3 linked regions of the Canis lupus familiaris genome follow. The protein of the gene in region 1 interacts with the protein of each later gene in a pairwise test. Links are inferred from orthologs where the notes say so. Each region holds a gene or a part of one and is shown on either strand. Other genes may lie near its edges.

The links.
Region 2: the proteins of RAB2B (region 1) and FAM71C interact in binary tests that used the Homo sapiens proteins (3 or more experiments, as listed by UniProt). The two-hybrid records come from large-scale screens. The link is inferred for Canis lupus familiaris from reciprocal best matches to the Homo sapiens genes RAB2B and GARIN6.
Region 3: the proteins of RAB2B (region 1) and FAM114A1 interact in binary tests that used the Homo sapiens proteins (3 or more experiments, as listed by UniProt). The two-hybrid records come from large-scale screens. The link is inferred for Canis lupus familiaris from reciprocal best matches to the Homo sapiens genes RAB2B and FAM114A1.

The regions. Positions count from the first base shown.
Region 1 is NC_049236.1:18,617,297-18,627,879, forward strand, and holds the end of RAB2B (ras-related protein Rab-2B), read right to left. Parts: intron 6,215-10,583; coding exon 6,103-6,214; intron 5,515-6,102; coding exon 5,446-5,514; intron 4,712-5,445; coding exon 4,604-4,711; 3' UTR 3,081-4,603; downstream 1-3,080. UniProt on the Homo sapiens protein: The small GTPases Rab are key regulators of intracellular membrane trafficking, from the formation of transport vesicles to their fusion with membranes. Rabs cycle between active GTP-bound and inactive GDP-bound states.
Region 2 is NC_049236.1:39,186,138-39,197,462, reverse strand, and holds FAM71C (protein FAM71C), read right to left. Parts: upstream 7,201-11,325; 5' UTR 6,402-7,200; coding exon 5,814-6,401; 3' UTR 5,782-5,813; intron 5,099-5,781; 3' UTR 4,388-5,098; downstream 1-4,387. Other genes in the region: ANKS1B (ankyrin repeat and sterile alpha motif domain-containing protein 1B), read left to right, coding at 1,050-1,193.
Region 3 is NC_049224.1:74,062,135-74,073,179, forward strand, and holds the start of FAM114A1 (protein NOXP20), read right to left. Parts: upstream 5,742-11,045; 5' UTR 5,661-5,741; intron 5,438-5,660; exon of another isoform or gene 5,380-5,437; intron 4,929-5,379; exon of another isoform or gene 4,615-4,928; intron 1-4,614. UniProt on the Homo sapiens protein: May play a role in neuronal cell development.

The sequences.
Region 1 (10,583 bases):
ATGAGTCCAAAACACCACGATTTTCTTGGAAGCCTGTTTGGTGAGCCCTACCAACGAAATTCCCGGGCAGAAGACGGTAGCTCATTAACTGACAGAGCCCTCCGGCGTCTCGAGGGTCCCGAACCGGACAGGCCAGGGAATCCCTACCTGAGCTGACAGGCCCGGAGCAACAGAGGAGAGCGATCGTGTGTGGATGCCGGTTGTGAGGGGAGGATGCAGGAGAGCCTGGCCGCGCTGGGGTCTGGAGCCCTGCGCCAGGACGCCTCATGGAGCTCCAGGTCTCCGACTCCCAGCTCCCTACGCTCAGTCGCTGGGAGAAACGGCCGACCCGCTGGACATGCATGCACCTGCCTTGCACTCCTCGGAAGACCTTCCTCCCTTCGCGACCGCCGCTTAAAGGCAAGAGCTGCTGCTGCTGCTGCTGCTGCTGCTGAGGCTGCAATGGCTGGAAAATTCTCTGTGACACTAGACACAGGTAAACGAAGGGCCGGCATCCGCTCCGAGGCAGGGGGAGGGGTCTCCGGCCCGGGAAGAGTTTACATAACGCCAGGCCGGGCCCCGCGGGCTCTGCGGACCTGTCAACGGAGACGCGAGGCCTGAGCGGCCCTGTCGCCGCCGCCTCTCCACACGCACCCCCGCGGTGCTCGCACCCGGTAACCGGCAACGAAGGCGCCGGCCCGCCCCGAGCTTTCCGACCCACCTCCATCGTCGGAACAAAACCAACAAACAAGAGAGAGAGAGAAAAAAAAAAAAGAAAAAGAAAGAAACGAAAAAAAAAAAAAAAGCCACCACAACCACCCTGACCTCCCACTTCTGGGTCCAAAGCGCGGTGACCCGGGAGCCGGGGGGTCTCGTCGCCGCCGCCAGCGCGCACCACGCCCGGGACGCGCTGACAGGCCCCGGCGCCCCCCGGCCCCTCACAAAGAGAAGGGGGCGGCCCGGAGCAGCCCCCTGCGCCTGACCCCTCACGCCCCGGCGGCGCGGGGAGCGGGGAGCGCGGCGCGGGCGGGCCGGGGGCTCCCAGGGGCCCGCCCCGGGCGCCGCGGCCGCGCAGGGGCCCCCGGCGCAGCGCTGACGAGCCGGCGCGAGCAGGAGCCCTACCTGAGCCAGTCCTGCAGCGTCCCTGCCAGCCAGCGCTTCCCCTCACCGCGTCGGAGAACAAGGCGCCTTCCGGCGGAGCATGGCCAGCCCTCGCCTCAACCTAGCTTGCTGGCAGTCCGTACGCCGCAGGCCTCGCCCACCTCCGGGCCGCCTGCCAATGGCAGGGCCGGCCCCGCCCCCCAGCAAGGTAGTGTGAGCGCCATCCCGGAAGTCCCCGGAGGCGGGGAGGTCCTGCAGGGCCTAGAGGGGTACGTAGGCAACCACGGATGTGCCTGAGTGGAAATAAGATCTGGCGGCCGCGGGCCCTGCTGCTCGGCTCGCGGGCGTGCGGGCCCCCGCCAGCTGCGCCCCCGCCCGCCACCGCTGGGGGCGCTGCGGGCCGCGCGGCCTGGCCCCGAGCGGGGGCGGCCATCTTGGGTCGGGCCGCGGGGACGCGGAAGCCGGGGCGGGCCGAGCCGACGTGCTTTGTGCGGTCCGGCCGGGCGGTCGGGAGCGGGGCCCGGTGCGGTCGGCGGCGGCCCCCCCACCGTGGGAGGGAGGAGACCCACGCGTCACGGCAGCACTAAAAACAGTATTTATTTATTTATTTATTTTGGAATGCGAACGGGTTCCCGCGCAGCCACAGGGTGACCCTCCGTGCCCCCGCCGCCCCGGGGCCCGCTGGGGGCACTTCCGGCCCGCGGAGCCCCAGGTCACGTGGGGGATGGCGCGGGCGGGGCCGCGGTCGAGGCAGCGCGCCCCGCGGCCCGGGAGCCCCGGCCACCAGCTTGGGTGGAGGGAGCACCGACCGTGTCTAGTTTGCGTCTTCGGCCCGAACGAGGCCCGCCGCAGGAAGCCGCGGTGGGCGATAGGGGAGGGGACGGCCTGCCCAGGAGGCCTCCGCCCGCGGAGACCTGTAAGTACCGGGCTGCACGGCTCGCCCCGAGCGGGACCCCAGCGGCCCCACCTCCTCCTTTTCCAAGTTTTCCCAAGGTGGGGCCTGAACTCAGGACCCCGAGATCAACAGTCCGTTTCCCGGGACCCCGGGGTCCCGAGATCGAGTCCCGCGTCGGGCCCCCTGCGTGGAGCCTGCTTCTCCTTCCGCCTTTGTCTCTGCCTTTCTCTGTGTGTCTCTCATGAACAAATAAATAAATAAAATATATTCTTAAAAAAAGAGTACCTTTCTCTATCACCTGAGCCGGACGTGTGCCCCGGTGCTGGCCTTTGACAGCCAAGCATGCCCTCATCAGACCTCCCCTTCTTCACACGGGCTGGGGAATCTACTTCCTATCATGTTTCATGACCATGACCGTGTCTCTGATCACCAGCAACGATCAATAGAGGTCATGAATTTGCCCAAGTAACTTTCCTCATGCTTCCCTTACATGGATGAAATACCCAAGTATAGAAGGTTAGGAGTGTTCTGGGGTTCTTTTAAGTTTAAATTTTTTTTTTTTTTTTTAAGTAATCTCGGCACCCAACATGGAGTTTGAACTCACAACCCTGAGATCGAGTCCCACCCTCTTCTGAGTCAGCCAGGTACCCCTCACTTCCTGAAATTTTAAACTAATGACAGAAACCTTGGAGGTTGGGAGATTATGTACAGAAACTAGGCAGTTACAGTTTTGCTCCTGGCACGAGGGGACAGGCTAACCCCAAATTCAACAGCCTCAGATCCTTTTTGGAATGAGGTAGGATTTTTTTTTTTTAAAGTATAGTCAAAGCACTACCCTAAATGTCCTCCAACTTTATGTGGTGTAATAACTATTATTACTAATACAAGGAGGTAAATCTAGTATAAAATGAATGTATCTGCATTTGTTGTGATGAACACGAGGTGACGTACATAAGTACTGAATCTATTACTATATGTTAACTGGAATTTAAATAAAAACTTAAAAAAAAAGTGTATATCAAGGACGCTTCTTCCAATACCTTTAATTTCCTAGAAGGAGAACATCTATATATGTTTGGGATAAAATCAGAAAGAACACATGAAATATGAGCAGCTTGGATACATGCATATATTTAATAGTGAAACAATTCATCAATAACAAAAAAAATTAGAAAAATTCATGAGACCTCAATGCTGTGGAAGAGAACAGGACATCAAGGCAAAAGATACAAAAAACTGACCCAGAAGGCTGCCTGATGAGTTAAGCAAAGGCAAATTTGCTTAGGATAGTATTATATGCCATTGAAAAGAAAAATGGTTGGAAAGGTACCCACTTATTTGCGTGGAAGCTGACAGCCTTACTGTATGCTGCACGGAATGGAGGCGAAGAGCCAGGGAAGGGAGAGGGGTGACAGAGGAAAAGCAATACAGAATCCAGGGTAAGCAGATGGAAGAGACAAAGAGTTACAAAGAGATGACTCTAAGGCCTTTTGTTTGCAGTCTACAATAAACCTGTTACAAGTCTTTATGTCAGTCAAGTCCAATGATCACATAACGAGTAGCACTAGGCAAGTAGCACTAGGCGCAGTGAAGAACAATGGAGTGGTTTACAAAAGTAAAGGGATAACATGGTTCCTGCTCTCAAGGAGCTTACAACCTATATGGGAAACAGATTCCACACACAAAACAAATTTACAAAGTAACATAAATATAAATAAATACACATCTGAATAAACAACATATGAAAGCCTAAGGGGTACTGGGTCAATACTTATCTAGAAGTCTGTAGGTCAAAGAAGGCTTTCTGAAGGAAAAACTTGGGGACTGAGTATAATGTTAGCAGAGAGTAGGGCATGTGCAAAAGCATAGAAGTGTAAGTAAATATGTCCAGAAAGCAGATTAGCTTGATTAAAGTAGAAAGTCTAAATAGGTGTTGTTGAGAAGTATGGTGAAACAGTAGGGGGTTAATTTGGTGAAAGACACTGCAGTGTTCGGTCTGGTCCCTAAAGCAAACAGGGAAAGAGGTTTTCTTTAAGTAATGATGCTAAGTGGCACATGTCCAGGAGTAACTCCACTGCTCTCAAAAGTTTTAGTTACTCGGAGACAGAGAAACTAGCAATGAAATGGTAGAGAAGTATTCAGCATCCTTGAACAGTTTTAGAGAAGAAACTGCCTTCTGCAAGAACACTTGCAAAGTGGCAAGTGAAAACAATCCATGAAACTCCTAGATTCAGGATCCACCATCCCAAAGGCCAGCCAGATCCCAGTAAAATCAAGTGCTCAAGTAGAATGTCCTAGGCCCTCATTACCAATTCTTAGTGGGGAGCGAATTGTATATACTTATAAAAGAATTTATTTTTGAGCTACCATGACAATCAAGTTTGATCCTAACATTCTAGAAATTAAAATAGGAGGATGAGAAGAGCCCTAATCTATAGGGAATCCTCACGTCCCTGAAGGAGGACAGGTCAGTAGGGCCCAAATTCTTCCCTGGTCTTTATGTGGAAAGGCAAAACATCACACCGTGAAAAGAGGCTTTTCTCAGCCAAAGCAAGTTAAGACCTCTTTCTTTAAGCCTATTGATCTGACGTTGTTCCAGGAAGGAAAAAAAGAGTCCAGGCCAGATACTCAGCAGCAGCCAGAGTTGGACCCTATTTCATTAGAGCTCCGCTGGGAGGCACTGGGTCCTACTGATGCTGAAATACACTGCTGAGGACCAATCTTGATGCCATTCGCCTGTAAGAGAAAAGAGGCAAGAGTTCCACCTCAGTGCTAAAGTAAATGGGAGAAAAGAGAGGGATTAAAAAAGAAATCATGAGTTACATCTTCTAGAAGCAGATACGGCTTTGGCAGTTAACCATGTGCCCTAGGCAAACTGCTGTGGGACAGTAGTCTTCAACCATAAAGATGAGATGACAAGCTCAGACATAAGTGTTATAGATGAGATCCTGACCTGGGCCGAAACCAAGAGTCAGACACTTGACCAACTGCGCCACCCAGCTGCCCCTCTATGGCTCAATTTTAAGGTGACTATTGTATTTAGGTTTCATGGCTATGTGTACAATCAGGATGAGATTAGATAAGAGCAGGAGAAGGTGAAAGACTAGATGTTAGCACAGAATTCTTTTTTGTTTTGTCCCAGAATTTGCTTTATAGAAATGGCCCTGTTGAGCAATTAGGAATTACCTCACCCCTAAACACTGGGATAGTAAAAACTCTTCCCAAAGATAATCTCCTATACTGTGTAAACATCTTAGATCACCAACTAATGACCTCTTTAAGCATTCTGGGCCTCGGACTTGAGAAAAAAACAGAAAATGATGACAGATTTGTAAAACATCAAGTATGGATTAGCATAGCTTCAAAAAGCACAGTGTTAGAAAGGAAATGCTCACATTCTAGGGGGTTTCTTGTCCTATTTAACACAAAGCAGCAAAGTTACTTGTCAGCCTCCCCCCACCCTTTCTCACCTCATTGTGGACATCAAATAAACCCTGCTGGATCTTCCTATATATTTCTTTGGCTGTGTTAATGAAGGCCTAAAGGAGACAGAAATCATATTATTAGGCTCAAGTTTAGATAAAGAAATTAGAAAACGGGAATACAAATATTATTCCTACTTGGATTTCTAAGGTAAATTAGGAACCATTAAGAGACCAGAGTAAAAATACAAAAGATCCCCCAAAGTCTCTATTTCAAAAAGAAAAGGACTATATGGTATTTTGATACTAACCCAAGATGATCCTTGACTGGCCCCTTCTCCAAATAAAACAAACATGCTCTGTTCTCAATTAATTACTAAAGATACAGTCAACAGCAGGCTTCAGAATGACTACCTGTAGAACCCATGAGACCCTCCAACTGAAATATAAAGTAACAATAGTGTCTAATCCATAATACTTGCCAATTAATGTTACACAAGGCAAAAGTAAAACCCTACTGTAGGAACAAAGACAAAAAAAAAAAAAAAAAAGGGACAACTCCCTTAAAGGGAGACATACGGACATACAATGTAACCACAGACACCCTTTCCTTACCAACAGTCTTATAGAAGAGAATCCTGAATAAAAGAATAAAGATATGTTGTCATCTCTCAAAAGCTTTCCCTACTTTTTCGCAAGTAGTACCTCTTCAACATTGCAGGCTGTTTTGGCTGAAGTTTCCATGAAGATAAGTCCATGCTCCCGGGCAAAGGCCTCTCCTTCTTCTCTCTTCACATCCCTACGGGATTCTAAGTCACTGCAAGAGATGATTGGGGAGAAAACTAAAAAAAGATCCAAGTGAAAGAAGAAACTCATATTCTAAAAGAATCCCAGGGCTGTTTCAACCACCAGTTAATACATAAAGCATGTAGATCCCACATGACATTCTCTCATATAGGATTACTAATTTCTGTAGCTTCTTGGAAAATGATTCTTCAAATTCACGACAGGTGTTGCATGGCTGAGGACAATAACTTACTCTTACAGAGAAAAAGGTTATTTGACAAAGAGAGGAAAGACAGGGGGAGTGGCAGGTAAAGGGGGAGGGAGAACCAGACTCCCTACTGAGCAAGGAGCCCAATGTGGGGCCTGAATCCCAGAAACCTGGGATCATGACCTGAGCCAAAGGCAGACGCTTAACTGACTGAACCACCAAAGTGCCCTGAGAGAAAGGTTTATAAAAGGTTAGGCAAGCCCCATAGTTAGTCCAGGCTTATTGTGTTCCATGCTTCTTTTTGGAATGAGATCTAGGGAGAACCAAGGAAAGAAAATGAAAGAGAAATTCCAGTTGTTAGAAAGTAGAAAAGTCCTAGATGGCCCAAGTCGTAATGAGAAGTGTCTTCCTCTTTTACTGGCATCAACCCATAAGAATAGAGGGTGGGGGCAGCCCCAGTGATGCAGTGGTTTGGCACCGCCTGCAGCCCGGGGTGTGATCCTGGGGACCCAGGATCGAGTCCCACATCGGGCTCCCTGCATGGAGCCTGCTTCTCACTTTGCCTGTATCTCTGCCTCTCTCTCTCTCTCTCTCTGTGTCTCTATGAATAAATAAATAAAATCTAAAAAAAAAAAAAAAAAAAAAAGGAAGAATAGAGGGTGCCAGGAATAAGGAGAACACAGTTGCCTTAACTCTCACTAGTCTTACTATTAACATATATAATTGCAGCTTGCCACCAGGGAAATAAAAGACTCAGAGAAAAATAAGATATATAATGTTAGGTGATATGAGGCGGGGAAAGGAGCCACAGACTGAGAAAAGAGAATCCGGTGGCATGGAAAGGCTTCACAACAAGACAGGATAAAAGGCTGTGGACAACGGTAAGGATGGACTGTCTGATTTTCATTTTTCTAACTGGAAATTTGCATTTCAGAGGTTTCCAGTTTCCCAACATGAAATCAAGGAGCAAGCCCACTGCAACAAATCTATAAAATGTGCATTTATCACTCACCAGCTGTGTGAAGACCAGGGAAGAGCTATCCATCTAAATGTCTACCTCTAGCCCAGCCTCTCCTCTAAGCTCCAGACCTCCTGTCCGTTTGTCTGTTCTTTACTCCCAATCTGATGCATAAAAGGTATTTCGAACATACATCAAAATAGAACTTGATCTTTCTGCCCAAACTGCTTCTGACCCAGGCTTCTACATCTCCATAAAGGACAACAAACTAAATCCAAGACACTATTATTTTCACAGCTTTCCCTTCCCTTCCCCCTTCCCTTTCCCCTTTCCTTTCCTTTCCCCTTTCCTTTTCTATCCTTTCCCCTTTCCTTTCCTCCTTTCCTTTCCCCTTTCCTTTCCTTTCCTTTCCCCTTTCCTTTCCCTTCCCTTCTTTCTCTTTCTCTTTTCTTTCTTTTCTTTCTTTCTGTCTCTCTCTTTCTTTCTTTTCAGCTTTTCTTTCTTTACTCCAAATACCTGATCCACCCCAAGGTACTTCCAAAATGCACCTTACCACCATCATTTTCCCCTCTCTCTGGTATCATCACCCAAGCCCACGCCACCATTCTCATTTAGACTACTGAAACAGACATCCCACTTCAACCCCTGCCCCCCTCCAGAGTGATCTTTTAAAATTGAATCAAGCCACATCTCTGCTTAAAACTCTTAAAAGCTGGGACGCCTGGATGGCTCAGTGGTTGAGTGTCCGCCTTTGGCTCAGGTCATGATCTTTGTGTTTTAGGATCGAGTCCTGTGTTGGGCCCCTGGTAAGGAGCCTCTGCCTGTGTCTCTCTCTGTGTGTCTCTCATGAACAAATAAATAAAATCTTAAAAACAAACAAAAACAAAACTCTTAAAAGCTTCCTACTGTGTTTAGAGTAAAATCCACACTTCTTCCTAAGGCCTGAAAGTGCTAAGAGATCTAGACCCTGCCTACCTTCCCAACCTCATTCCTCCTTGATTTAGCCCAACCATACTGATTTCTTTCAATACTATGACCTTGCCAAGGTTCTTCCCAGTTCAAAGCTTTCAGTTTGTTCCCCTTATCTGATACTTTTCTGAACTCTTTTTTTTCTTTTTAAGATTTTATTTACTTATTCATGAGAGACATGGAGAGAGAGGCAGAGATACAGACAGATGGAGAAGCAGGCTCCATGCAGGGAGCCCCAGGTGGGACTGGATTCCTGGACCCCTGGGTCACACCCTGGGCCAAAGGCAGACGCTCAACTGCTGAGCCACCCAGGCGTCCCACTTTTCTTAACTCTTACTTAAATCCTTCAGATTCCAGTTTAACCATCACCCTTAATTAAAAATAAGTATCTTGTTATGCTCTTGTATAGCACCCTTTTTTCCTTCATTGCATTTATCGCAATTTGTAATTAGATACAGATCCTTTTATATTTAACACTTACGTCTCCAATAAACTATAAACTCCATGGGAACAGGGGTATGACTCTTTTTTTATTATTTTATTCATTTAAGATTTTTATTTATTCATAGAGACACACAGAGAGAGAGAGGCAGAGACACAGGCAGAGGGAGAAGCAGGCTCCCTGCGGGGAGCCCGATGGGGAGAGGCTCAACCACTGAGCTCCCCAGGCATCCCAGGGGCAGGACTCTCCTTTTCTCACCCTGTACACTCAGGATCTGGCACACAGACATCTAGAAACACAGTTCAAACAAATGAGTGCAATAAGTCTGTGATCACAGTTCTCAAATGGCGCACTCTAGGCACTACTACAAATGCACAAGGGTGCCACAGGATTATTTTTTTTTTTTGCCATAGGATAAATTTTAAGGGAAACACAGTTAACAACACCAGAATACCACGTGAATTATAAGCTTAAGACAGTTCACAGTGTCACTGTCAGATCAAAATAGATCCTGTTCAATATTTGCATATATTTGTGTAATCTGAGTTTTTGGCAGTTGTGATAAAAAGGAAGTACAAAACTGGGAGGGAAAAAGGGATGCGTGGGTGGCTCAGTGGTTGAGCATCTAGACGCCTTTGGCCCAGGGCGTGATCTCAGGATCCGGGATCAAGTCTTACATCAGGGTCCCTGCAGGGAGCCTGCTTCTCCCTCTGCCTGTGTCTCTGCCTCTCTCTCTCTCTGTGTCTCTATGAATAAATAAAAATCTTAAATGAATAAAATAATAAAAATCACTCAGGGGCACCTGAATGGTTAATAAAAATCACTCAGGGGCGCTGAGTGGCTCAGCTGGTTAAACATCTGACTCTTGATTTTTTTTTTTTTTTTTTTTTTTTTTTTTATGATAGTCACACACAGAGAGAGAGAGAGGCAGAGACATAGGCAGAGGGAGAAGCAGGCTCCATGCACCGGGAGCCCGACGTGGGATTCGATCCCGGGTCTACAGGATAGCGCCCTGGGCCAAAGGCAGGCGCCAAACTGCTGCGCCACCCAGGGATCCCCTGACTCTTGATTTTGACTCCGAGATGGAACCCCACATTGGGCACCATGCCGGGTGTGGACCCTGCTTAAGAGTCTCACACTCTCTAGTGCTAGTGATGCTCAGCACCAGAGGACAGTGGCTGGGTATCCCCTTTGTTTTCCTGGGTGCAGGGATTGCCCATGGAGCCTGCGCTGCTGCAAGAAGAAACTATTAGTTCAGTGTGTTCCTAAAGGGAGGAAAGACGTGCAGAGAGAGGGGCAGATGAATGCATTTTTTAGACCGGGGAAAGAGCTCAGCCTTGCATTTACTCTTTACTCTATAAAGGAGTGAAACTGTGTAAGATGTTAACAGATAATTTTTCCACCCTGTTTTTTTTTTTTTTAATGCTTCTTGTAGCAATTGGTACAAGATTTAGTGTTTACCTATTTTATTTCACTCTTTAATTGTAGGCTGGAGTAGAGTGAGCTGCCCTCTCAGGCAGAACTGACATTGGGGGCAGAAGAGAACAACTAATTACAAAGCTTATGCCTTAACATTTTGAATCTGGTTTTTTGATATATTACCTCAGTAAATTTCAGAGTTCTAAAAACACCAATAAAAAATAAATCTTTATAAAAAAATAATAAATAAAAAAATAAAAAAATAAAAAATAAAAGAGTTTTAAAAATGTAAATCTAAAGCAATTAAAAATTTCTGTTTGGGGCGCCTGGGTGCTCAGTTGGCTAAGGTCTGACTTAGGCTTGGGTCATGTTCTCGGGGTCCTGGGACTGAGCCCCACATTGGG
Region 2 (11,325 bases), about 21 Mb from region 1:
TAGGTTGGGAATATATAACTACCAGATAGTCAATTAATTTCTTTGTTTTTACAGAGACAGCCCTCTGTTCACAGTGCATGGATTATTAGAGTTCATAATACCTTTGTTTCAATCCCACCAGAAAATAAACCTCCCATTTTTTGTCTGTGGTGAAGGTTTAGTTTCTTGGCCAGTTGAGAACATGGGTCTCAGGGTCTAACTCGGCCAAATATAGAGTTTCTATCCTGTTGCAGCCCTACTTGCACCTACATTTTCATGTATAGTACATCTCTCTGATTCTTAAGCCTTTTTGATGGTACTGAGTTGTGAATAGACATGCTGCTTATTCTTCACCCTTATAGACATTTTGTTTGCAGTTTTCTCAAGTTTGGTTAGGCAATACCTACTCATTTGTTTATCATTATCTTAAAATTTTCTTGTTATTGCTCATCTGCTAATCTCTCTCCTTTTGTCCCTGTCCTCATGCATCAGACCATTTTTATAAATCCATTGCTGTCGTTTTAATGGGATTTGGCAAGTAGCAAAAACAAATATGCAGGTTCAACATGGAAGTCTCATTATTAATTTTAAAAGTATTACCCCTGTTAGATGTATAATATAAAATTTTATGAAGTTCAGTTTTTTGAAAAGGAGACATTATGAAAAAATGGACTTTTTAGCAAAAAAATGGGCTTTTTTAGCAATTCCTATTTCAATAAAGGATTTTCCTGCTGTTCTTCTGGATGCATTTAGAAATGATAAGATTTTTCTAATTTGTTGCTATTTAGATATTTTCTTGGGTCATTTTCATGTCTATTTTTCATTATGAACTTTGTATCCTACTAGTCTTTCTCACCCAGTTTTTTCACTTTCAATTTTTTAAAATATTCAGCTTGAATTATACATGTTTTTTTGGCTTAGTCATGTGGCACAGCCACATAACTATGGTGAATATTAAGCTTATTTTGCTTTCTAGCACAGACTACAAGAAATTAATATAATATAATTGATGTTAAGATATCTAAATAACATTGATATAATATATTGGTATAATATAAATTTAATTTCAGAGAACTTCATCTACAATAAATTTGTCACCAGGAGAAGTGGAAGAAGAAGATGATGATGAAAACACTTGTGGGCCTTCAGGACTCTGGGAAGCATTAACTCCTTGTAATGGATGTAGGAATCTTGGCTTCCCCATTCTTGCACAGGTAACAGTTTGCTTTTCTTAAGATATATTAAAACATAAAAATAGTTGCCTATGTTTTTAAGGAAATCTTTTCTGTCTTCCTGAAAATCCAATTAATATCTTGCTTGCTCTAGTTTTTCTTCAGTTGAAAGTCAGTAAAATGTTTATCTAACTTGTTGTACCTGTATGGATATGCAAACACATACTTTACATCATCTTATGTGGCTGTATTATTTTGATCATGATGATAGCCCCTGAAAAATTGAGTTGTTTTTGAGATTTTTAATATTTATGATCTAGAAATAGTTCATTTAAAGAATGTTATTTTCAAATTAAATTACAATTTATATTAATATAATAGAAAATGATTTACAAGGAAACATATTAGAGCTCTTTAATAGCATCGTTACGATTTTTTTAGCACAATATAACATTGTAGAATAATGTTTGCCTTTGAAAATTATGTAGGACAATCCAAAAATGAGACCATTGATATAATTTTGAAACTATCTCACCATTCATTAAGTCCATTTTATTCTACTATATCACCTTCAAATTCGTGTTGTGTGTTTTGGACCAACACAAGCCTATGGAGGAATTTCAGAAATAAGTAAAATTACCCAGAGCTAGGAAATTTGAAGCCAAATGAAAATATGAAAAAACATTAATGCAAAAAGCAATCTAAGGCTAAGGTATGTATGTGTAACTACTTAGTGCATATGTGGAAAAATAGTCTTGGGCAGAAAATAGTTTGCAGTAATTATCCAGAATAGTGTCACATCTCAAAAATATTATTTTCTGTTTTGCCTCAAGTATGAGGTAATTATTTCTAAGAAAAAAATCACATTTTTCATGTCTTATGTCACAAGTTGATCAAGTTCCAATATTAATTTATTGTAGAGAAAACAAAGTCAGCAGATAGTACCTAAAAAAAAAAAAAAATCTCTTCACCTTAACATGAACTATTTTTAGGACTCTAAGACACTATCCTAATCATTACAGAATTGTTATCAATATCTACTGGACCCTGAGTTCAATAAAGGTAGGGATTATATATTGCATTATATCTATTTCAGGGCCAGCATAGTTCCTGGCATATTGTAAGTATTAAGTAGTATTTCTTTTTTTTTTTTATTAAGTAGTATTTCAGTGGAACAATTAATAAATGCATAGTATATTTGGCAGTTTCATTTCCTCACTTAAAGAGTTTTACCTCCAAAAAAAAAAAAAAATGAGTTTTACCTCCTATCTATAAGGAGATAGGATAAAGGAATGAAAAAAATATAAGTTTTATTTTATTAATATAACCTCATCTGCTTAATGGTTTACTAGTAATCAAATGCTTTTATTGTTTGTTATTGTTTCATAAGATAAAGTATTAGAGCTCTGAGCCAGCAATAATATATAACTAAAATTTGCTTCTCTACCACCTTCTTCAACACTGATTTTTTTCATTTTATTAAGTTTGGTAGTAGGCTTGGAAGTAACTTGACTTTGGTTTACAATATTTTAATACTAGAGATTTTTCTTGGGCCACTTTCCTGTGAAGACTTGCAAATAATAGTATTTTAATAGTTTATATTTACCACAAAATGTTTCCCAGTCTGCAGCTTCCCCCTCATTTGTATATGTGAGGTTTTTGTGTAGTTTTTTTAAACTATTAAATTCATTAAAATTCTTATTTTTATTCTTCTTATTTTTTTGTTTAATTCATCTCATCTAGAAGCAACTCCCATTTCTCTCATTATATTGCATCCTGTTTGGCTTGGATTTTCTTCTGAAATCTCTTATTTTTGTTGTCCTATTTTTAAAACCACCATGATATTTTTACATATAATGCATGGGAGGAGAAATCATGATTGCATTAATTAGCTGACATGATTGCCTGGTCTTAGAAATCTATATTTTCTAAAAGTATCCTTATTGGTATTTTCATTGTTACTGATTACATCTATAAATTTACTTGACATGTAGTATCTTTTTTTTACTCTATTTAATATAATAAATGAAGAGCAGAATTCTTTTGTTACTATTCTCATCTGGTCTTCTACTAATGTTCTCAATTTGTTGATGGACTCTCCTTTAACATATGTATCTACAATAAAACTTAATACATTTGTTGTGACATTGGAGACATCATATCAAATGTAAGTTTGTCCTCAACTTACAATAGCTTTGAACTCAGGATTTTCTGGGCCAGCTTCAGAATAGAAGTTTTCTTAAAATTTCATGAAAAAAAAAGGATTTTGTTTTGAAGTTGTTTTTTCTAGACCTGAAATATTTTGGGAGGTCATTAGAAAATCATTAAACTGATGACTATGCATAGAAGGCCTCACAAAAACCTATTACCTTACAGTTTGGTAAAGGAGCCTTTGGGAATCACTGGCATTAGTATAATACTATGCAAATTTCTATATGCTCAGATTTGTTGGATTCAAATAAAATATATTTATTTCACATTCATAACCCTTAATTTAAGTGGATCAAGCACACATGTATCAAATATCTTCTATATTCAAAGCATAGTCCTAATCTTCAGAAACATGAGGATTATGGAAATACAGACTCAATTAAAACTATGTGATGTATTACTTTTAGAGTCTCAAATAGATTTTTTGCTTGCAAAATTAGAACATTGGCTGATCCTATGGATCTTACACTTCTAAGATTATCTAGCCTCCAGTTTTTGTCTAGATTTTGAATTGATCCTATATTCGGGTTTTAGCCAATTTTTGTTTTTTCTAGTCTTAATATGGCATTTTGTCCTTCCTTTGTGACAAGATGTTATTTCGAATTCTAAATTTTCACAAAGAAATTAAGAATTTTAAATAACATCAGGGAATTAAAATTAAGGCTTACAGAATATGTTAGGTATTTTAGTATAATTTCAATGCAGTTGAATATTTAAGTTGGCAAAAAAAACAAGAATAAAGAGACTGGGGAAATGAAGCCCTTTCTAGAAAGTATAATTAATTTTTTAATACTCCTGAAAATAATATTTTATAATAATAATAATAATAATAATAATAATCACTACCATTTGCTTGTGTTCCTGGTTATATATTTTGGAAATTTTAGACCTTTTTTTTTTTTGGTTAATACATGTAGATGAAAAATGAGAGTCTTTAGAGTAACCTTTAGTATTTTATTCTATCATCTGTGAATTTAATCACAAATATCAAGTTAAGGGAAAGTTAAAGATAGTTCAGAACCTGATCAGAAATTGCCATTTGTTTTTATTGCTACCCTTCCCTTTTAAAAGAGCATATATGATTAGAGCAGAGAATTTGAGATGAATTGTGTGAGGGTGGATGACACTGATCTCCTCCACAGTCTTATATGAGATGTCCACCTCTGCACCATGGTGTGGTGCAGGGCTTTGAGGCTCTTTCCTAAAGAGTCAGTACTGCTGGGTGGAGACCTCTGGCTTCCATCCTGTTCATTCATGTAGCCTTTACTCTGAGGTTGTAATGAAGGGTCTCAATACTGAGCTGTTAGCTGTTTTTGCCACAGGCTTGCCAGTAGTTTCTGCTCTTGGAATCACCAGATTTGTTCTCCCTCTGAGAAGAAGCCAGTAGCTCCTCCTGATGTGCTAGAAGTGCCCTCTGAAGACAAGAAGGGCTTGTAGCCCTTGCTTACAACAATATTAGGACATGCCGAATGCACCCCCTATGGTCTTTCTCCTGTGCTTCCTCCTGGATCTGTGATGGCTGCTGCTGTCGCCATCCCTGACCTTTTATCTGATACTGTAGGCTTTGTGACTGCAGACGTATGTGAACTCTTGAATGCAGCAGGTGTGGGAGGCATGGTGAATTCATTCCTCCCCAGCATACACATAAGGGGTGGCCCCAAACAATCAGGGTTCATGTGAAGACTCCTGATGTCAACTTGATCTTGATCCCTTCCATAGAAATGAATGACATTTGCCTAAGGGAGAGACAAACAAGTGAAATAAACAAAGTGAGACCTTTTATTCCTATAGCTAAACAACAAGAGTTTATAATAAGAATTTTGAGATCTGAAGTCCAATTTCCCATTTGTTGCAGGAATCCACCCTCCTTAATATCTCCACAATGACCCCATGATCCTTCCAGTTTTTCTTGGACAGTTCCAGTGTCAGCAAGAGCATTGTTATAATTCACCAGTGAATATCCTCATATTCTATTTTTTATACACTTGTGTTAGTATTTCTGCTGGTTAAGTGGGATGCACTTCAGTATTCTGACAGCTATGAACAATGCACACAGGCACATCTGTCTGCCACTGATGTATACAGAATCAGCACATGGCAATCATGGGGAGCCATGGCTGGGGAGATGGTGAGGATGCCACAGATGGCAATACAATATTGGATGTGAAATTAAGAGTGGCTGACAGCTAAGGAAGCTCTGAAATACAGCATTGGGGAACTCTGGAGCCCCCGGAACCTCCTCAATGTGACACAGGCTCCAAATGGAGGCTCTGATTGCCCTGAACCCATCCAAATGTAATGAATTTTCTAGGTGAGCCTCACCCAAAGGTGAGCCTCAGTACCAAAGGCTCTGCGGGACTTTTAGCTGTTCTCCCATAGCACCCTGGCCCCATCTTTTAGAGTCTCTGTGAAGACTTACCGATGGACTCTTGTCCTCCTCTTCAAACCCAGTTATGTCCCCAGTGAGTCCCCAACTGGGATGGCATGGGAACCACTGTAAGCCTCTACTGGTGGTCTCAGAATGTAAACAAGGTTTTCCCAATGCACAAAAAGATCTTTTGTATCAGAAGGGGGACAGAGCTGAAGGTAAAAAGAGCGGCCAGTGGCAAGCTTCAGGTGGAGCTGTTGTTTTGTACCATTATGGATGGATATTGTTACAAACTTTGAAGGACACAGTCTGGTTAGCTCTAAGATCTGTGTAGGCTTGTAACCCTTTTCCTGGGGGGCAGGACCATATCTGTTATGGTCATCACAGATAGCAGTTGGTCGAGCCAGCAGCATGACATCAGGTAGTGTGAGGTGGGGGCTGGTGCGGATGATGCCCACAGTCACCATTCGGGCACGGTTGTGCACGTCGTCAGTCACTTCTCCTTTTTTGCCCACCTGTATAAAGTCACTCTCAAACATTGGTGCATACTTCAATATGGTGTACTCCCTCTTGTACAGGTGTTGCTGTAGTTTCCCCATGGAGGTATTAAACATACCCATTGCAGGGCTGCTTTGGGCTGTGTAATGTGGTAACTTAGACTGACTGTTCATGACTATCTTTTATCAAGGACTCCTATGGGTCTTCCACACCTTACCACACTTTTCAGGGTGTCCTATTTCCCTGATTTCTCTAGCAGGTGGCCCAGCAGTGGTCTTCTACAGGTCTCTGAGCAACTGAGAACAGGGTGGGAGTACTGATTACCAATTGTTCAGTGCTAAAGACAATTAATTGCACCTGTACTAGACTGTGCTCTGCCTAGATCATGGAGATGTCAGGGTGCACAGACATTAGGGACCCAGTAGATGACAGGGTGCTCAGATGTTGAGTGCAGAATCGGGGCCCCAGTAGATATTACCATGTGCAGATGTTGAGGAGCAGAGGTCAGGGCCCCAGCAGATGTCAAGGTGCACAGATGTTGGGACCCTAGTAGATGTCAGGGTGCACAGAGGTGGAGGCCCACAGAGGTTGGGCCCCAGTAGATGTAATCGTACGCAGATGTGGAGGAGCAAGAGATCTGGTCCTCAGTAGATGTCAGAGTGCGCAGATGTTGAAGTGCTCAGATGTTAGGGTCCCAATAGAGGTCAGAGTATGCAGATGTTGAGGCGTGTAGATGTTGGTGTTCACTTGGAGTAGGGAGGGGCCTCCTCTTGAGCCTAATACATTGGTTCACAATAGCCTCTGCTCTATTGCATTCTACAACCTCACTGCTTATTGTATTTGTACAGCTCCTCTCCTCCGAAACTGAAGCCTCCACCTGGGCTTAAACCACCCCACAGGACTCCTTTTATCTTCTCCTGCCCATTGTGACCTGTGCCCACCACGCACTCCTTTGTCACTGTTGCCCATCAGCCCCTCCCTCAGAGCAGGGACACTGTCCTCTCCGCCTCACCCCACCCATCCTTACAAGGCTACCCTGTCTGTGACAGCTCAGCACAACCCCCTGCCCTAGGGACTCATCTGAGGTTTTTAATACATACTGGCAAATCACTTTCCTTTAAAAAGGTTTAGGTAAAATTTCTGTTAGGTATGAGCTTAAAATATACACACTCTCCTAACCAGGACTTCTGGTGTAACCAATTAGAAGTAATTGTAGACAATTTACCTTGAGAATTGTAGAGAATTTACCTTGATGAGAGAATTGGACAAAGTGGTAAATAGGTTAGTGCAGGGTGTTTATCAAGGTTTATTATAGCGAAAAAAGATCATAAACAAGATTAATGCTTTACAATAGGGGCTGGGTTAAAAAAATTATGGAGCATTCTATGATATAGTACTCTGCAGTTGTGAAAATCATTATGTAGTTCCCTATTTAACATGATAGTCTTGATTTTTTTTTTCTTAAAGAAAAAGAGCAAAGCAAAAAGATATCAAAGTAGCATTCTATGTGTGGTCCAATTTATATAAGATCATCTGTGTGTGTGTTTGCATATGAAAATATGTTCAGTGAAATGTTTAAAGTGCTTATCTTTGGATGGTATAACTTTTCTTTATACTTCCTATTTTTATTAGGTTAATTATTTCTATTAGTGGGGAAAAAACTTTTTATTTGCAATGCCTATATTTACAGCCATGATAAATTTTATGTTTTGATACACCCTCACGTTGCTGATGAGATTTTTAAGCTTTTTTCTAGATGTTTATATGGTGACTATACAATAAAGGAGCCTTAAACATTACATTTATACTCTAGTCTTACCCACTATCGTACTGGATATATATAAAAAAGAAATTTGCTGACTACCATGTTATCAATTCAATAAGATCAAGGTATTTTTATTGGTATGATGATATACACAACACACACACATATAGAAAGTCATAGTAGCCATAGTGTTTGAGTCTTTAGTTTGTTTTATAGGTCAAAAGAAACATTTTCTTCCCTTCATATTGAAATATCCAGTATTTCTGATAATAGGATTAGTTTTCCTTTGTTTATTAAGAGGCCTCTTAACATACCAATAAAAATTTTTACTGGCTTGTTTAAAGTCCTTACTTATATCTTAATTTCTACCTTATGTCTCTATTACTTATCTTAGAAAAAACATTAAGCCTAATATACAGTTAGTAAACAAACTAACATTTTAAAAGTATCCCAGTGGTTTTGGTCTTTTTTGAAAAGAATAAATAGCATGGGACACAGTAATTTAATTTAGGTGCTTAAAAAAACAACGTGAAGATATACTGGTTTTCTTAAAAGCATTTGCACATATATTACAAGATATTTATCTTAGTATTCCATTAGAACCTGAGGTAATTGTCTTATCTCCAGGGAAATCAGACACTGTAATACTTGTAGGGTCTATGGACTTTCAGAAATTGTTCCAGACCACTCATTAGATCAACAACAGTAAAACTCCTATTATTGGCCTGATAATCATCATGTGTAGCATTCTGGAAAATATATTTCTATTTTCATTAATCTGATATAGTTTGTCTTAAACTCCTCTAGCCATTTAGAAAACTATCTTATGAATATTTGCCTCAAAACTTAAGAAGTTCAGATGCCTAAATAAAAAGCTACCTGAATCTGAGATTAAGGAATTCTTTTTATGAGAATGCAGCAGCTTTCTATATGCTGTTCTTGAAACAGATTTCCATACAGTTAGGCTTTAGATATGATTAAAATAAATTTATGCTCCCTGTCCTCTACATTAGAGCTTGTGTCATCAAGTAAATCATTTAACTTCCTTGGGTCTTATTTTTCTCATCCTTGAAATTGAGATGACTCATTAGATATCTTTCAACTTCAAAACAGTTATGATTTTTATCATAGGGACTTAACATTTTCTCCTTATAATGAAACTACTGTGTTCTTTGGAAATACTCCGAACAATAATAATGAGTCAAGGAATTATTCAGATCTCAACAGCTCTGGGAATTGTGATTCAATATATAGTCTTATTCTGTTGCTGAAATTTTTGCTGGAACTTTTAGAAGAACAAACATTCAAAATATTATCTCAGTAATTTGGGTAGTGAACGAGGGGAGTGCTTAAAACAATGTAATTGAAAATATGGGTTAAACATTTTAGACAATTTAGTTAATAATGAACATGGCTGTGGTAGGCATATTAGCTCCCCCAAAAGATGTCCATATCTTGATCTTCACAAGTTGACCCTATGACATTACATGATAAAGGACTTTGCAGATGTGGTTAAGTTAAGGATCTTGAGATGGGGAGATAGCCTGGGTTACCCAGGTGGGTCCAATGTAATCACAATGGTCTTTATAAAATAAAGGCAAAAGGTTGGAATCAGAAGGATAAGTGATGACAGAAGCAGAGGTTAAAGCAATACAACCATGAACCAATGAATGCCGGTGGTTAAAAAGCAGGAAGTGGATTTCCCCTGGAGCCTCCAGAAAGAACTAGCTCTGCAAACACCTTGATTTTAGCCCAGTGAGAATAATTTTGGACTTTTGACATCCAGAACTGTAAAAGAATAAGTTTATGTTGCTCTAAGCCTCTGTATGTCTTAATCTGTTCCTGCAGCCCTGGGAAACTGATGCAGATTTTGCTACCTAGAAGTGGGAGGCTGCTATAACAAATACATAAAAATATGGAAGTGTCTTTGGAATCGGGCAGTAACTAGAGGCTGGAAGAGTTTTGAGTGGTATAGTAGGAAAAATCTAGATTGCCTTGAACAGAAATATGAATACTAATGATTCTGCCAGTGAGGGCTCAGAAGGCTGTTATATGGGGGGAAAAAAAAAACAAAACCCAACTATACGGTCTCAAAAAATACCTGTATTTTCACAGAGTATTTGTAGAAAGATAGATATTAAAGGCACTACTGGTGAAGGCTCAGAAAAAAGTGAGGAAAGTGGTAGAAAAAACCTATTATCACCTTAGAGAATACCCAAATCACCATAGCCAGCATGTGGGTAGATGTATGAATATTGTTAAAGGTGCTTCTGGTAAAGACAGAAGTAAATGAGAAATATGTTATTGAAAACTGGGAGAAAGGAGGTGTTGAATAGTAGCAGAAAGCCTAGCAGAATTGTGTTACATAGAAAGCAAAGTAGTATCTGATAAATTTGGATCTTTAGCTGAAGGAATTTCCAAGCATGGCGCTAAATGTACAGCCTGGTATCTCCTTGCTACCTATAGCAAATATGAGAGAAAAAAGATAAATTGAGTGAATATTTTTTTTCCAACAAGCACATTTTTTATATGAGGCATACTTCAGAATCCATGGTTCTAAAAGATACATATACAACATTTCATCCAAGAAAAAATAGAATACACATTTTCTTCAAGTACACACAGAAGAATCCATTGGCTAAATCACATAAAAAAGACATAAATAATACAAATTTAAGAAGGCTGAAATCATACCAAGTATATTTTCTAACCACAGTGATACAAAACTAAAGATCAACAATAACAGAAAGCTGGAAAATCTAGCTTTTAAGCAAAAAGAAACCAGGGTGTGATTGAGACATTCTCAGCCTGTCCAGATTGAAAAAGAGGCTAAATTTTTAGATTCACTGTCAAGAAAGTGTGTCCTGGGGAGAAAGCCAAAAGTGTGACTGGATAACTTTTTCCTAGTGCCCACGTGATAAAAAAAAAAATCAGTATTCCATCACACAGAGGGCTCTTTGATGAGATTATATGTATGTGTCATAGATCTTCTCAGAACCATCCAGAGATGGGATTATCCAGGAAGGATCTGTGGAGTCAAGAAAAGACTTATCAAACTGAGTGGTTGCAAATGTTGTTAACCTTTATTAAATAGGAAGATTGAGAGGACAGGGCTGAGAGTGGACCTGAGCACTATGAAGGATTATTCCTAGTCTTTGAAACCTAGTGGGGTTTACTCATTTGGATTTCTAAGTTGACTGTAACTGTTTACCCCTATTCCCCCCCCCCCCTTCTCCCTCTTTGGATGGGAATATCAATAATTGTTATTCTATGCCCGTCCTACCATTGTACTTTGGTAGCAAATAACTTGTTTTCTAGTTTCAAAGATTCAC
Region 3 (11,045 bases), on another chromosome or scaffold:
TCAAAATGTTGTCTTTCACACATTTAAAACCCAGTTAAAATAACCACTGCCTCCACTGTTTGTTCTTCCCAACTGGATATATTTTTTCTTCCTCTGAAGTGCCGAGTGCTTTGTGTCTGTCTCACCTTGGTGAGAGCTGCTTCAGTGTTTTCCTTGTACAGTATGTTGGAAATACTATGAAGACAAGGATCTTCCTTGTCTAGTTTTCATGTTTTATGTGGCACTTAACCTGGTTTCTTGAACATATTGGGGAGCTCAACAAATATGTGTGTTGTTATATTAATATATTTGGAGACTTAAAATTAAAATGTAATTTGGATTACTGTTTTTGTATTTCTTGGGTAAATACTCAGTAGTACAATTACTGGATTGTAGGCACACCTCTGTTTATAGCAGTGTTATTTACAATAGCCAAACTGAGGAAGCAGCCCATGTCCATCAGATCAACGGAAAAAGAAGATGTGAAATATATATATATATTTAAGTATATATATAAAAATATATAAGTATATATATATTATTCAGCCAGCAAAAAAGAATGAAATCTTGTCATCTGCAATGATGCGTGGAACTAGAGTATAATGCTAAATAAGTCAGCGAGATAAAGACAAATATCACATGATTTCATTCATATGTAGAATTTAAGAAATATAACCAACAAGCAAATTAAAAAAAAAAAAAACAGAGAGCAAGAGCAAGAGAGCGAGACACACCAAGAAACAGGCTCTTGACTATAGAGAACAAACTGATGGTTACCAGAGGGGAGGAGGGTGCGGGTTGGGGGAGACAGGTGATAGGGATTAAGGAATACACTTGTGATAATCACCAGTGGATGTATAGAACTGTTGAATCACTATATTGTACACCTAAAACTAATATAACCCTGTATGCTAATTATATTGGAGTTAAAAAAATTTTTAATGTAATTTGAAATGAAAACTAGCAGAAAATGCCTTTACCCTATTTACTACTCAAGAGCTACTTTACAGCAAATGGTTCCAAATGATCCATATTGTCTTTCCTTGGTTCCTTCAACGTCTAACGTCTCCTTTTAAATAAAAATCCTTGAATTTAGTAATAACACTCCTGTAAACAAGTCTATGAGTGGGAAAGGCAAAAAATGCATACTTCCTTTTAGCTGGCATATAAAGAAAATCTCTGAGTCAGAACCAGGTTAGGACAGGGGGTTGGCAAATTGCAGCCTTCTGGCCAGATCTTGCCCTCTGCCTGCTTCGGTAAATAAGATTTTGTTGGGACACAAACACATTCATTTGTTGATGTACTGTCTATGGCTTTTCTAGCACTGCAGCACCTGAGTTGGGTATTAGAAAAGACCATATGGCTCACGAAGTCGCAAAGCCTAAAATGTTTACTATCTGGCCCTTGACAAAAATGTTTGCTGACCCATGGTCTAGAAGATTGCCTGGTTGCCATGACCTAAATATTGTTTTAATTTATCCTATGAGTCCTAGGGGCATAAGGAGAATGGGTTTGTGAATAAATGATGCTTTGACATCACTTTTGTTCCCAGTTTTTATTCATCAATAGCTGGTTCCTGGTATTGTCTGATATTTTTGTGTAAGGTAATTTGAAAATCGTATTATTAATCTGATTTAGGCACTTAATCAGTGCCAAACTATTTCACTTTTCTGTAAGTAGGGACATGGGACTAAACCTGGCTATAATAAACATTCATGGGCAAATAAAAAACATTTTGGACACTTTGTCGATTATGCTTTGCCCTAAATGTGTCGCCAGGCTATTCATCATGTACTCTAAAATCCTTCAGCATATATCGTGGGACATACATGCCGGTTAGTTGTAATTTACAGCCTGGGGTGGTTGGTTAACATCCCAAGTGCCCTATTCAGGAATATACTCTCTGGAGGACTTCAGTTGGCATTCAAAATCTATAGTTGTCCACCTCTAGAGAGGGTTTCCCAATCACCCTTTTGAGTCAGTACCCCCAAGATGTGCTAATTAGAAATTCCACTGGTGAAACGGAAAATGCTGAAGATATGTGGACTGGCAAGCAATAATGGACAGGTCAGTCTGCCCTTCTATCACCAGGGCAGAAGATATTATTGGATATTATTGAGTTCAGCAGCTTAGCCCTCTTTGAGATATTTTCTAGTTGCGCTTGAATTGCAGGAGAACCCCAAAGCCTGATTGGGTTAGCTGAGCCCTGCCTCTAGAGCAGTCCTCACCAAAGGCCAGAGAGGACGGAGAACACAGGTTTCATCAAGCTTGTAAAAACAAGCTGAGGGCCAACCTGCCTTAGGTCCGTTCACCTCAATTGCAGAGAAATGGCTGTGACAAAAACCTCCTTCCCTGCAACTGCTCTGCATGTTCAACCAGCAGTAGGAAGCCACCCCTTCAGAAATACCCCACATCAGCTGTAAGGTGTTGAACCCACACCGTTAAAAATATTTACGGATGACTTCTATGTTTCAAGACATTTTCACATCAGTTTGGATAATAAAAATGGTCACTATAGTTTTCAGCCCTACTTTAATTTCTTATATATATCTTTAATCTCTATTTCCTTCTACCTGCTACAGGTCTGTATTTTCTCTAAACCAAAACCAAAACCAGAAATCTTTTTCCTTTGTTCTCGTAGATCTTTATCTCCTCTGGGTGTTATGACAGGAAAGACGGAGTTAGTTTTAGACTGTGCCCTTTTCTCTGAGGCCATCAGAAAGTATCGCATCCTAAAGACACAGCTGCTTGGGGCCAGTGACTGTCGGAGTCCACCAGGACTACAGCTGTGACACATGCTGTTTCCTAGGACAGTCCCCATCTCGGCCTGGGTGCCCCAGAAGCAGTCAGACTTATAAATCTCTCCTGATTTATGGTTTGGAACGTTGATCACTGCAGCCATGTCTTGTGGCTTTGATGCTAGTGAAACTCAACCCACAGAAACAAGGAGGCTTCTTTAGAAAAACTCAAGGAGAGGAAGAGTAGCATATAAAGGAGCCTTTGTGGGCTGGGAATAAGTTAGTTTTTCATGAGTAAATTCATTCATCACCTAAAACGCTCCCAGAACTATGCTAGGTATTGGAGCAGCAACATCATAGGCTCCAAAAATAAGTTTAAAACGGAAGACACGGCTACTATCCTTCAGAAAATGAATAATCTGTTTTCATTTTAGCTCTGGTCAATGAAGGTCCACGAAACTACTTCAGCAAACATGAGATGGTTAAACGATGATACAAAACAGCACACCGAATGAGGGAAAGATGTGCCTGAATTAGACTGACCTTGTGCAAAGGAGAACCTTGAAAATAGCTTTGATAGGATTACTTGGGCCTGATGGGAAAAGAGTATGTGCAAATGCCCTGCATCAGGAACGAATTCTAGATAATCAGGATGAACATCTGTGTGGCCCAACCAGGAGGCAGTCTAGAGGAACAGTGAGGGCAGGTCAGTGGTAGGAGTGGAGGGGGGGTGGGTACTCTGAGGCAGAAAGAGTGTTCTCTGGTCCCACCATCTCTTTGTGGGCACACAACTCACTCCTGTTGGGCTTCCTCACTTCCTCCTCTGTAAAGACTGGACAAAATGACCTGGATATTTGGTTCCCAAACACCAAAGACTGCGGGACTGGGACCAGTCCATGATGATAGAGAAAAATGAGGACAAGATAGCAAGTTTTTCATCCATCTAAATTTATTAAAGGGCTGCCTTCATCTTGCAAGTTTAGCCTTCATGCTTTTCTTGGTATTAAATGTCTTTAATTTTACCGCATAGTAGTGCAGTGGATGGATTTTTTTTAAAAGGCCACTTTCGGCAAAATATGAATTTGGTAATGCAATACCCTGGATAAGATCACTGCCCCCAATTTTAAAAAGGGCTGGTCAATGAGGACCAGGAACAAAAACTCTGGGTGAGAGGTTAATCAGCAGCTAAGGTTCCCTCCTATGAAGCTCAACATGTGCCCCAGCCCAAGCTCCCCCTGCACCCAGCCTGTTTCCTCCCCTCTCCACCTGTCTCCTATGTTTTTTTTTCTGAAACACAGATGGGACCTATTTGCTCCCCTGTTTAAAACCACCAGGATTAAACACCTTTGCATGACACCTGTGGCCCCACACGGTTCTGCTCCGATCTCTTCATCCACCTCTTGTAACTCTTGGTACACCGAGCACTGTCGCCTGGCCAGACTCCCTCAGTGACCGCAGCCTGCAAATGTGCCCCCCTTGCCTTTGCCTCCCTGCTTTCTCCGCCCCTGGGGCTGCCCTGCCTGTAACTGCCGGGCAAACTCCCATTTGTCTCTTTCCACATCTAGCATCACTTTTTACTCTATCATTGTCCTTAATTTCCTCCACCCTTTTCTCGCATTAACTGCTTTCCCTTCCACGTCCTGTGTGTGTCCGTGTGATCCTCTGCACTGACTTCTATGGCATTTATAAGGAGTCTGCATCTGTGTCATTTCCTCCTCCTGGACTGTGACCAACACGCACTCAGCTCGGGTTCTGATCCTCAGATGTTTACAGAACTGAACTATATAATTGTCTGATATTGATCCAAGAGAAAGAATATTTGACATAAGTCAGACCTATAAATACACGGCTACTTATATGGGCTGAATCCTTGGTATTCTAGAAGGCTCCCTCTCACCCTCCAATTCCTTCTGCACTGGCTCCGTTGTGCTTCTGACACCACCCTGGAAGTTTCATGCCTTCGCTTAAAGCTTACAGGGTCAGGAGCTGTCAGTCTTCCCTGAGCTCGGGTTCTGAGGGAGGAAAGGGAGGAGGGCGCAGGGGGTGAATATGGGTGAGGTTGGGAGGGGCCTCCGAGGAGAGAGACTGTCTCTCCGGTGACCTCGGGGTGGAGGTCGAGAGACGCGGATTTCAGAAGCCACCTGCTCGTACCCTTAATGTTCGGGATGGGATGGGATGGCGTGAATGGGGCCAGATCCTGCCCTGAGCCCACACTGAGAGGTCTCCGGACTCTAGGAGAGGGCAGCGCAGCTCAGGCGCCCGAGCGGAGGCGGCGGGAAATACTCACCCGATTCCGGGGCCCAAAGGGAGACAGTGGGTGAGCGGGTGGGGCCTGGGAGCTGGGGGGCTTGCAGCCAGGGCGCGCTGGCTCTTCGGGCGCTGGCTGGGGCGCTGGCTGGGGCGCACGCGAGGCCGCCGAGGGAGGGAGGACCCAGGCGGGTGGGGGTCACGGCCAGAGCCCCCCGGCTCTCCCACGGCGGGCCAGCCGGGGAGGGAGGCCTCTGCCTTACGGGGACCCGCTCCCCCTGTGTCGCCGGCGGACCCGGGACACCGGGGAAACTTCTCCAGCCTCGCTCGGGGCCGGGACCCGAGACCTGGAGAGCTCGGGGCAGGCTCCGCGGGGGCTGACGGCGGCCGAGGGCGCAGACCCCGAGCGCGGGCGTGTGGGTGTGTGCATGAGCGTGGACCCGGAGCGACACACACTCACACACACACACTCACACGCCCGCACCCACGCAGGGCCCTGGGCCGCGCCGCCCGCGCCCCCCGGACCTCCAGCCCTGAGCCCGCTCCTCCCGGTCCCGGCCGACGGCTTCCCCGGAACGCGCCGGGCGGGATGCGGGCCCAGGACGAGGAGCGCCGGCAGGGCCCCCCCGCGCCCCCCCGCGCCCCCCCGCGCCCGCCCGGGGAAGGGGATGCGGAGACGGCGCCCCGGGCTCTTACCGCTCCGGCGGCCGAGTGCGCGCGGGAGCGCCCGGCGGGTCCCGCCCCGCCACGTCGGCAGGGCCGGCGGGGACGCGGCCGGAGGGCGGGCCGGGGGGCGGGGGGGACCGCGCGGCCGGCCCAGGAGGAGCCCCGCCCCGCCCCGCCCCGCCCCCGAACCCGAACCCGAACCCGCCCCGCGCCCCGCGCCCCGCACCGAGGGGGCCCACTGGGAGCCTCCCGCGCCGGCCGGCGCCACCCCACCTGGGGAGGACCTCGGGGTTCCCCGCCACCGTTCCCTTCCTCTCAAGGCGCCCGGAAAACCCCGCAGCGTCCCCGGGAAAGGCTCGCTTCGACTTGAGCAAGAGTTTTCCATGCGCCGATTGTGCGTTCAGCAGCTTTCCCTTCCTTCCCTGGCTTCAGGGAGCGCCATCCGATGCAAAACCAACTAAACACGAGCACTCTCTACAAGGCCAGTTCGGAAATGTAGGTCAGGATGCAAAAGCCCTGGGGCGCCCCGGTGGCTCCGCGGGGCAGCGGCTGCGCGGCTCAGGTCAGGAGCCCGGGGTCCCGGGATCGAGTCCCACAGGAGGCTCCCCGCGGGGAGCCTGCTTCTCCCTCTGCCCGCGTCTCTGCCTCTCTCTGTGTGTCTCTCATGAATGAATAAATAAAATCTTAAAAAAAAAAAGATTCAAAAACATTAGCTGTGGCCTGGGAATTCCACATTTGCAAGTTTGTCTCAAATAGTCAAATGTAAGAATATGTATGTACAAGGATATTTACTGTGGTTGTTTATGCCCGGGAAGACGCATACATAGTCCATCCCACAATAAAGGATTGTTTTTTTAAGATTTTATTTATTTATTCATGAGAGACACAGAGAGAGAGGCAGAGACACAGGCAGAGGGAGAAGCAGGCCCCATGCAGGGAGCCTGACGTGGGACTCGACCCTGGGTCTCCGCCGAGCCACCGGGGCTGCCCCAAAGGATTGTTTAAAGAGTAGCAGCTTCGAACAGTCTCATATGCTGTGGCCATTAAAAATTATAACTATCCATCCGACTTGTTGACATGCAAAGAAAGCAGGCCGTAGCCAAATTTCAAGTCGAGGCCTGGGGAAGTTTACCAAAGTGTATGTACGGTGTAACTCTTTTCCTGTAAATACATCTATATGTGTATATATTTTATATGAGTTAGGGAAAATACAATTTTAAAAAACAGTGATTCTTTCCGAGTTCTGTAATTCTGAGTGTTGGCAAATTTTGTTCAAAAGGCGTGACAGGTGTGTTTTGGTGTTACCATGGACACAAACACTGTGCCTGTGACTTCTGCACCCGCCTACTAGGGACAGCAGGTACTTTTGCCACACCTGTCCTCCCTCTGCACTGAACGGCAAGAGCACAATCAGACCTGCCTTGTAAGGGCTGGCTGGTTTCCTTTTCTCCTTTGACCCAAACCACACCTTTCCAATAAAAGAATATCACACAAGGAACCCTAGCCACAAGGGTTTTGTTGATGACTGCAGATTATGCCCTGCTACTCAACTGCTGCTGCTTCCAAGCCCACCAGGTTTTAGTTCAAAACCTGTTATTTTTTGCAACTTAGAAATTCTTTATTCATTTAAAAAATTCCAGAGTCTTAAAACATATTGAAAAGCAGAGAATAATATGACAAATACTTATTTAAGAAAAAAAGTGGAGAATGACAATAGGTAGATTGAACAACTTTTTTGTCATATTTATTTTAGAACCTTCTTTTAAAAGAAAATAATGTTAAAGATATTTGGAAATCCTTTCCCTTCCATTCTCCACCTTCCCTGGAGGTAACCATTGTCCTGAGGTGGTTGTAAACTCTTCCCACCCTTATTTCTATATTTTACGGCACATACCTTTATCCACAGATACTATATAGGATTCTTTTTCCAGCAGCCTGGGTGGCTCAGCGGTTTAGCGCCGCCTTCAGCCCAGGGGTGATCCTGGAGATCCGGGATCCAGTCCCACATCGGGCTCCCTGCATGGAGCCTGCTTCTCCCTCTGCCTGTGTCTCTGACTTTCTCTCTGTTGTCTCTCATGAATAAATAAATAAAATCTCTCTAAAAAAAAAAAAAAAAAGAATTATTTTTCAATGTTTTAAAATTTTATTTTTTTTAAAGATTTTATTTATTTATTTATTCATGATAGTCACACAGAGAGAGACAGAGAGGCAGAGACACAGGCAGAGGGAGAAGCAGGCTCCATGCAGGAAGCCCGATGTGGGATTTGATCCCGAGTCTCCAGGATCGTGCCCCGGGCCAAAGGCAGGCGCCAAACCGCTGTGCCACCCAGGGATCCCCCTGTTTTAAAATTTTATAAGTAACATCCTATACATTTGTTTACTCAACATTATATTTTTGAGAATCATTTATGTTCATATGTGTAGATCTAATACATTAATTTCGGTCTTTATAGGATTCCACTGTATGAATATCCACAATTTATCTATTTCCCAGTTGATGGAAATTTGGGGCATTTCATGTTTCACTATTACACATAGTGCTGCAATGGCCATCTTTGTATATGCTTTCTGGTATCCCAGGCTAGACATGGAATAGCCAGGCCGCCTTTCCTAGATTTTTGAAACTGTCCTTCAGTGTGGTCCAACTGAGATGAGGAAACTGAAGGGACTCCATAAAAATCTACTTTTTGTTCCCTTTCCTACTTCTATTCATGCTATGACCTGCACCCCCACCTTACACATGCCTCATAGTACAAATAATACATGTCCTCCTGTTAAGGGACAAGGAGTTAATGACTTCTTTATTTTTCCAGTACAATAGATAACATCTAAGAAAGGACTGGTTGAGAATGACCAGACAAACCATATTCCGGATCATAGGCTCTAGACATCTCAGTGCCAAGACCCCCTGGCTCCAAGGAATAAATGACTTATAGAGGATACCTGGACCCTTGTCTTTGTTCTGACCAGTTCTTGGATGCCTGAGAGGACACATATACTAGACCACAATCTTCAATAAAAACTCCAGACCCCAAACAAAAACCACAGTAGGGACTTTGGCTTATACTTTGAATGAGAAGAGGATCTTTACAGATTTTGAGTAGGCATGTGTGATGATTCTAGTGTCTGATTCTCACTGGGTTGGAGTGGGATAGGGTGAAGGTGGGTGGGTGGAGGAAAGAGCAGAGGCAAACAGACCAGTTTGGAGGCCATTGCAATTATCCATGTAAGAGATGACTATGGTTTGGCCACCATGGGAGCAGTGGAGGGCATGAGAGGTATTTTGCTTTTGGAGATATTTCCAAGAAAAACCCAATGAAATTTGCTCAAGGATTGGATGTGAGGTTTGAGGAAAAGAAAGAAGTCACACATTAGTCCAAGGATTTTGACCCGAATGACTACAAGAATAGAAGTATCATGGGGCACCTGGGTGGCATAGTCAGTTAAGCCGCGGACTCTTGGTTTCTGCTCAGGTTATGATCTCGGGGTCACGCGATCCAGCCCCATGTCAGGTACTGTGCTAAGTGCAGAGTCTGCTTGAGATTCTTTCTCCTTCTCCCTCTGCCCCTCCCTCTTGTGCTCACTCTCTCTTTCTCTTTCTTTTTCTCTCTCTCTAAAAATCAATAAATAAATCTTAAAAAAAGAATAGAAATATCACTTATTGAAATTAGGAAGAATGCAAAAGGGACAGGTTTGGGGTCTGAGGTAGTAAGGATTCAGGCATTTGATTTTCAACAAGAAATGTTTAGCAAATGCTTAGCAGGCAGTTGGATATAAGAATCTGGGGTTCGGGGGAGAAGTCTAGGCTAGAGATAGTAACTGGGGAATCTTCAGCAAATTGATTGTTTTTTTTTTTTAAAGATTTAATTTATTTATTCATGAGACAGAGAGAGAGAGGCAGAGACATAGGCAGAGGGAGAAGCAGGCTCCATGCAGGGAGCCCGATGTGGGGCTTGATCCTAGGTCTCCAGGATCAGGCCCTGGGCTGAAGGCTGAGCTAAACCGCTGAGCCACCCGGGCTGCCCAAATTGATTGTTTTGAAGCCACAAACCATGATGAGAATTCATGAATTGCAGAAGAGGTCCAAGACTGAGTTTTAGCTGTGCCAAATCAGATAAGGAGGACCCAGAAGAAGACTGGGAAGGAATGTAGTGATATAGTACGAAGTTGGGAGGGAGGTGTGTGTGTGGAGGGGTGGGAATGCAGTATGGGGTTCCAGAAGCCAAGTAAGGAAACTTTTCAAAGACTTTTAACTGTGTTAAATCCTGCTGATAGTTCTGATGAACATTGAGAATTGACCCTTGGATTTGTCAATGTGGAGGTCATTGGTGACTTTAACAAGAATGATTTCTCTGGAGTGGTGGAGAAAGAAACCTGATTGGAGTGGGTTTGAGAGAATAGAAGAATATTTAGAGACAGTGAGTAAGATGACTTTTTCAAGGAGTTCTGGCATAAAGAGGAGCAGAGATTAAGAGATTGGGGGTTCAAATATGAGAGAAGTTGTAGCATCATATGCTATTTAGGACCATACATTAGAGCAAAAAATGACGATGTAGTAGAAAAAAAGATAATTGCTAGAGTGAGAGAGTGCTTTTCTTGAGTAGACAAGCAGGAATGGTGTTCAGTACTCAATGGGGAGGAATTGGCTCTGGACAGAGTTCATTCAGGAGAACAGAGGGAAGTACAGCTAGACAGCTACAAGTAGGCTAGGGAGTTTTGGGGGGAGGATGTGGAAATGCTCTTCTGGTCACATTTATTGTCTGCATGAAAAATGAAGCATCATTAGCTGAGAGAGAGTAAGGAAGAAGGTATTGGAAGCACAAGAGAGGGAAAGAGGTATAAGAATGAATGGGCTTGGGAAGGGGAGTAGAAGGGGTAGTAGAATTGCAGTTCTGTCTTGAGGTTGGGATCCAGCCATGGATTTCAAGTAAAACAAGTCAACATGGATGTGTATTTTCTCCAATTGCAACCAGCGGCTCAGGCTTAGTATAGTCAGTCCAGTAGTAATCAGTGGGATTTAACCTGGGAAGAGGAGACAGGAGGAAGGGAGCTGAGGGTGAATGCAGAGGGATGATCAAAAGGATAGATCATGACCTTTCAGTCCAGTGCAGTGGAGCTGAGGAATTGTTGGCAGCAGAGGGAAAGAGTGGGAGGTGATAGCTGGAGAGTGAGATGTCGGCAACCGAGATTACGGAAAGGGTGCAGCCATTGGTAGTAATAATATCCAGGATGTCATGAGGGAATACATGGCTGAGGTAGGTTGCAGTGTGAGATCATTAAAGGAGAGACTATCAAAGAACTAAGAAGCTGCCGGAATGAAAGAATCTCTACATAGCTATTAAAACCACTAGATTTAAAAAAATAATCAAAAAATAAAATCATTAGACTTATGGCAGGGATAGTGTTGCACTGGGA